Linked DNA regions of Bombyx mori. Each later gene encodes a partner of the first gene's protein in a complex. Links are inferred from orthologs where the notes say so. Each region holds a gene or a part of one and is shown on either strand. Other genes may lie near its edges.

Region 1 (3,996 bases):
TATTTTTTTATTTATTCCTCTGCACTACAGATATTTTAGGGTTTATAAGGATCCATAATGTTTTAATCATTATCAATTACAAGCTAAACAAATTAAACTAATACATATTGTGATGATAAACAGTTTCCTTTGATACTTCAGTATTGTACGTGCTCATAGATAATAAGATAATTATATGCACTACTGCATATATAATTAGAGAACACAGTACAGCAGATAGTTTAATTTATTTATATTTGTGCATAGTATAATACAATTTAAATTCACAAATCACTTTAGATAATTCTATAATGTGAGTTGTGCATTTACTAATTATGTTTGTTTAACAGATGCTCTGTTAGTGTTTGGCTCGTTTTCCAACATGACCTTGGCTAATGTCATTACTTATTATTCATGTTAACAAGAACACAACAAAACCCTCTAGATATTCATAGAACTTAGAATGTTATGTAATTTCACTAAGAAAATGAAGATTTTTATTTTGAAACTTACCAATTTTATCTACTTTTGGTCTGACATTAACAACAGCACCACAAATCTCATCTGAATTCTCGAAATTTTCACCAATTAAAAGAAGAACCTGAAAATTAAATACAATATCTTCAATTTTAATGCATCTCACACACATCTCTGGTTCCTTGTTGTAGGTGCTTACTGGTCACATCCTTCCACACATCCACATTACTTCAAACAAAGATCAACAGAACATAGAGCCAAGCATACAGCTTGTAGGTAATGAGATAGGAGATGATCCTTCATCTCCTTCCTACAATACAGTTTCTATCTGTAACTGTATTCTAATATTCAACAGGATTTGAGTGGGCAGCCTTAACTATTTGAGGCATGATTTGTGGTTTCTTAGAAACCAATGATCTTAAATAAGCTACAACATCTTATTAAATGTTTATAAACATGGGATAGTGCAATCAAGCTAATATTCACTCACAAACATGTGCTCAGAAAAACTTGTCATATTTTTAGAAAATCTTTTCCTTTCATTATGTCAAACTTGATACTCAAAAAAGAAGTATTCTAAAACGGTATATAATAAAAAAGTTTAACATACCACATCTAACCAGAACCTATCTAAATCAGTAAAGCGTTGTTTTTTCTCAAGACTGATAAGCCATCTTCCTCCCATCTTGTTAGCATCGTCTTCCCACATAGGACGAATGCCTTGCTTGAATACTGCATAGTCATGACCTTGGCGAAGTTCTGACGGTAGCTTAATATGATGGTACAATCTGTAATGTGCAATAACAGTTTTGCTTAAATAAAAACCTACTAATTACTAAATTGACTACTCAGAGTAATTTTTGGCATTTTCTTATTATAATGGAATGAATCTATAGAATTAATGAATGAATACATGTTGACAAAAATAGAAACCATGTTTAGCACAGGGGGCTACGACAGACACATTGTATCTGCCATTTGACATCTATCAGTAAGCAATGAGTAGTCACTGGTTCCATAAGTCACTCATTATTTTTGATGTATTTCTTAAAAGTTTTTTGTGCAAAAACCCCTCAATGATTTTTTGAACATACTTGATGTATTGGTGCGCGAAAGGGAAATATGTCATGGACCTATGGCATCCATCACTCCATTCTACATGTTAGATACATTATTATTATAGAAAATATAACAAGTAAATAAAAGAACAGATGATTAAATCGACAACTAATCACATTAATTATAATAGATACGTAATAATTAGCTCTATAAGAAAGTGTTCTAGTTTAATCTTGAGCAAAATTAATTCTGTTTAAGTTCAGGTTCCATCAGAATTTACTTTCTCATCTAGGTTGCAAATGTATAGAAGTTGCATGAATGTACTTCTAAAATGTATGAAATTTATAATTTACTTCTGTAACCGGCATTTTCCTTTACCTCCAAAAGTCTTCAACTGTGTCGAATGTAGTCAACTCAATAAGATTCTCCTCCCATGTTTTGTTTCGGTCATTGTCGTAAAACCAGAGACTCCACTGGTTTTGTAACGGGTGCTTGATCAAAAATTCAGGGGGCACCTCCGCGTTACTGTTGGTCTTCGTTTCAGTGGTAGTAGACCCCTTAAAAACACAGGTCATTTTTATTAGTGAACCTAACCTAAAAAAAATATTGTTATTTTCGTAGAAGTCGTTTAACGACTTAATCCGGAATATTTTTACACAGAAAACCACTCGAGCGAGGTAAAGTTATAATTTATACTTGAAAACTAGACAATTATGCTAACAAATGTAACAGTGAAAGTTAACGAAGCCACATCAGCAAATTGCGGCAAAATTATAGGTTTTACGATTGTATAACCGGCAAAACGAGGTAGAAAATTACTTTGTTTTCTTAATAATTACATCTACCCACCTCTACTTCTTCTGTAGTATTTCCAGCCATATCTTGAGAGGATAACGATGCAAATTTCCTACGAAAAGGAGCGACAGAGTCAACGGGGTTGCCAAATCAGAAATCGCGTAAATTATTTATTATTTTATAAAGTGGATGTGCGCTAATCATGGTCTAGATTTATTTAAGGGTGTCATTTTTTTGTCTACCTATGTTGGTGATCTCATGGGATTATACCAGCTTCACGAAGCGAGTAGGCGAGTTCACGGGGCTAAGCCTGGTGAATTTGCTAACACTAGCCCTATTAAGAACAGTGCTTCGCAGTATCTACCACCAGATCGGAAACACGACCCACTGAGAAGATTCGGCGAGAAACTCAGTGGGCTGATTAACTCAGGGTTAATTTGCTCGCCGAACCCTTCGTCGCATTCGAGAGGAGTGACGAGAATGGTCACCAGTACTGGGGGGTGCCTAAAAGCACCGATAGTGGATCGCGAGGATCCGAAATGACGTGTTTTGGGCAAATGGAAAATATTAAATCACGGCATTTCCATCATCACCTTATAAACACAGGCCTTTTCCGAAGTTGGCTACAGTGACCAGTCGAGCAGATCTCGTGACCTTCACCAGGTCGGTCCTTCGAACCGTTGTGAAAGGCCTACCCACAATGCGCCTTACAGCGTGCGATTGCCATTCGAAAACTTTTGAGCAGAGTAGCCACCTGTCTTACCAGCAATATACCAAAGCATAGCTGTGAAAAGTTGTTTCGCTGCTGACCTCTATTTAGAACTAGCTAATAGAAATCATCGTATGATATCCTTATCTATGCACAACCTCTTTTTTTAAAGGGATTTTATGACCTGGTAACTAAGACCATTAAGTCTTATTTTAATTTATTTTCTTATGTTTATGAAAAATGATAATATGGAGTCAAATGAAATGAAATGAAAATGAAACGAAATGAGATGAAATATAACCTCAGTAAAATGGTGATCATTTACTGAGACTTTTTCAGTGGACTTTTTGGAGGATCCCGAGAAGCTACGTTCAGCGGCTTTGTTTCATTTTCCCACATTTGTGCACTTTCTCAGATACTAAACAGTTAATAAATCACCGTTATTACACATTTACACCTGAAGAAACACTAAATAGACAAAATAAAACAAATCACACAACTTCACTTCTCGAGTTCCCGCCAAAAAGGCATGCACAACCCTATGCGAGCACAGACCGGAAATAAATTCATAATAAAATTGTAATTTGTAATTCACAATTCACCAAAGTGTATAATCTATGCAATTCACATTATTGATCGGTTTCAAAACTCCGTGTGCGTCGTCTGGTTTGCCGGCTTAATCGACGGTTAATAATTAGATTATACAGTAACAAAACAAAATTTAATACATCACTGTAAAATGTCAGTTCACAATATCTTATTGGATTTCTCGATTGAAGCGGCCCGTCTGGAAGATGAAAACGGCCAAAAAGATATCTTTGGACAATTGGAAACTCTATTAAAAGAATATATACCAAATTTGATCCTAGCCACCGACATAAAATTGGAAGATGGTTCATTGAAATTATTAACCGGTAATAAAGGAACGACTGTATCCGTTAGGATGTTTGACCGAGGTTTCATTACTTTAAATATTG
Region 2 (2,735 bases), on another chromosome or scaffold:
ACTATTCGTGATGCGAGCACATTCATATCGGACTCGGAACGTTACAAATTTCCGTTTGACATTACAATTTTAAGACAGTCACGTCAATGACTCTGTTATTGCTAATGTATTTTTTTTTTTGGCTTGGGACGGTACTAGTGTGAGTTCGTTTAAAAGCTAGAAAAGGAAACGGTTAAATTTGGACGCGATTTGTGTGTAACGCGGTAACCATGGTAACCGGTTTCCGAACGATGCCGCTTCCGGAAAACCAGTTAGGGTTGCCATACTCTCATATTTATACTTGATATTTATTCAATGTGATTAATAAAAAATATATTCAATATAACCGAATAGCTCATTAAAATTTTTAGTAGAGGCTAAATTAAAAAAAAAAAACAGTTTGATTCGAAAAAAAAACCGCCAAAAAGTTCTCAATTCGTGACCGACGAGACATCAATACGTACATTTAATCTATCTAATAATGTTTAACATTTAACAAGTTTTATAGTTTAAGTACATTTCTTAAATTTATATTTATGTATTATTATTTTTTTTAAATAGTATTTCGATGATTACAAACAATTAATTGTACGATCAGTCTCGTTGTACTAGTCTGAATTTTTTTATTGTGTTTTCAAATTTTCATCGACAATTCCAAGCTTTTAAACACACTGAACACTATCGAGCGGACACCCGTACCTCAAAATGCACATTACGTCATTTGAAAAACATTATTCTCAATCACGGGGATGTTTACAAATTCCGAAAAAAAAATAATACATTACTCAATTTAAAAACATTTCTTGTCAGGGACGTTAATTCTTAGCTTTTAGCGTTCGGCGGGAGCTTTTGAAAGCGTACAAGAAAAATCGATAGGTGAACAACAACAAAACGTTAAGTCTTTAAATTGAGCAAAAATTTCGATAATTTCAACATCCCTATTCTCGACGATAACAGTGGGAGGGAGAACGTTCCGTGACGTCATCACTTCTAGACTGTTCACGCTGACAAAGGACCCCTTAAATTCGTTAATGACGTAGCACGAATAGACTAATCCGAGTGGCCGCCCATTGGTCAATCACAGCCATTATTATTTACGCTTCCTATGTTTCACCATTAATAAGCCCTCATTCGCACGGGCGTTTTAAAAACGTCGCGTTAAAACTCGGCGTTGGCGCTTTTATAACTTTCTCGATGTGACGTGTAATCCGTAACGCACAACGCTTGGCGCTCAAAATGCAATACTGCGGGATAAAAAAGCGCTGACATATGAACATACACTAGGAAATGAATGTTCTATTTGAACGATTTTTTAACGAGCGCTAAAAAAAACTCTAGTGCGAATGAGACCTAAGGCTGTATTCAATTCAATTAATGGCATTTACAATATCAAATTGAACCGAATCAACTGTAATGCTACGGTCGTCAATCTTCGTAATCGTCCATAGTTTTATCGTAATGCGAGACGACACACATCACATGTCTTTCTGTTCATTTTTAGTCTTTCCAATCTTTCCGTAGCTTCTCAAAGTTTGTTATACTAAAAAGGCGGTATTTCTTCCGTAGCCGTTTACTTTTGATAGTCGAAAAATAATAATAATAATCGTAGTGTAAAAATTAGTAAACGTTGTTGGATTGAGAAACAATTCGATTCTGTGAACTCACCCGTATAGAATACAGCAGCACAATTTTCTTATATGACATTAAACACTAAACGCATTGTTGTTTTGACATACGATAAACATTTCAATATTCGGCAATTTTTGTGTGTTCAAAAGTGAACGATCTTGCTTTGTTACGATACAGTATTAAACGTTTTAGAGATCAACAAAAAAGGTCGTCAATTATCTAGTCGCAACCTAAGTCCGCTGTTATATTCTAATACTAGTGTGCTTAGTGTTCGTTTTTTAACGATCTCGATAGCGTAAAAGTTAACTCAAATTTGTATGCAGCTAAAACAGCGCCTCTAGCGGCAAACGTAGGTAAACGTTTCAACCCCATACAGATTAGAGTAAACTTTTTTTTAACGTTCTCGATAGCGTAAAAGTTAACTCAAATTTGTATGCTGTTAAAACAACGCCTCTAGCGGCCAACGTTACAACTCCATACAAATTTAAATTTTACGCTATTGAGAGCGTTAAAAACGCTACAAAGCTGCAACGTTTGCCTACGTTTGCCGCTAGGGGCGCTGTTCCAAATGCATACAAATTAGAGTTAACTTTTACGCTATCGAGAACGTTAAAAAACTCGCACTGAGCATACAGAGCAGTGATGTTTACGACGGAGAGCCGTGTGGTGTGGTTCAGTTGTTTCGATGTATTGCAGGGCGGGTTCAGTTGCGCGCGGGAGGGGTTGGCGCGTGGTGTCGCTCCAGCTCCTCCAGCGAGAGCGCGTTGGGCACGTGCACGGAGGGCAGCTTCCCGGCCGAGGCACGTGCCAGCAACTCCGGGGAGAACCACCGCGCCAGCTGGTTGTCGCCGCCCGCCGCGCCGCCCCCACCCAGCTCTGGACATACACGAACAATGTTCAAACTGATTTACTCGATCGCATATTGCTTTTTTTTTCCTACTTAAGCTGAGAGGCTATATCAGCGTAACCTTAACTAGTAGGTGAGCTCACGGGGCTCAAACCTGACGACGTTGCTAACACGAACCCTAGCAAGAGCCGTGCTTCGCAGAATCTACCACCGGATCGGAAACGCGACCCACTGAGAAGACACTAAGAAGTAAAAAAACTCGCACTAAACGCAAGGAATA

Evidence for each region. Proteins that work in one complex are often made in the same cells at the same time.
Region 2: the proteins of mRNA cap-binding protein eIF4E (region 1) and eukaryotic translation initiation factor 4E transporter are in contact, whole or in part, in a crystal structure (PDB 4UE9), measured with the Drosophila melanogaster proteins. The link is inferred for Bombyx mori from reciprocal best matches to the Drosophila melanogaster genes eIF4E1 and 4E-T. Residues at the interface, in NP_001261626.1 of Drosophila melanogaster: Lys80, His81, Pro82, Leu83, Met84, Tyr91, Glu93, Asn105, Ile107, Thr108, Val113, Glu114, Trp117, Ser118, Leu119, Tyr120, Asn121, His122, Ile123, Lys124, Tyr135, Leu174, Asp175, Leu178, Ile181, Gly182, Glu183, Ala184, Phe185, Asp186; in NP_726618.3 of Drosophila melanogaster: Arg9, Tyr10, Lys12, Leu15, Leu16, Leu18, Arg19, Glu21, Lys23, Ser24, Arg25, Gln29, Cys30, Ser31, Arg33, Gln37, Leu39, Gly40, Phe41, Trp42, Lys43.

Annotation. Positions count from the first base shown.
Region 1 is NC_085128.1:2,392,077-2,396,072, reverse strand, and holds the start of mRNA cap-binding protein eIF4E, read right to left. Parts: upstream 2,802-3,996; 5' UTR 2,395-2,801; coding exon 2,365-2,394; intron 2,073-2,364; coding exon 1,894-2,072; intron 1,245-1,893; coding exon 1,067-1,244; intron 581-1,066; coding exon 493-580; intron 1-492. Other genes in the region: spermine synthase, read left to right, coding at 3,759-3,996. UniProt on the Drosophila melanogaster protein: Recognizes and binds the 7-methylguanosine (m7G)-containing mRNA cap during an early step in the initiation of protein synthesis and facilitates ribosome binding by inducing the unwinding of the mRNAs secondary structures.
Region 2 is NC_085122.1:3,354,398-3,357,132, forward strand, and holds part of eukaryotic translation initiation factor 4E transporter, read right to left. Parts: intron 2,485-2,735; coding exon 2,312-2,484; 3' UTR 1-2,311. UniProt on the Drosophila melanogaster protein: eIF4E1-binding protein that regulates translation and stability of mRNAs in processing bodies (P-bodies). Probably plays a role in P-bodies to coordinate the storage of translationally inactive mRNAs in the cytoplasm and prevent their degradation.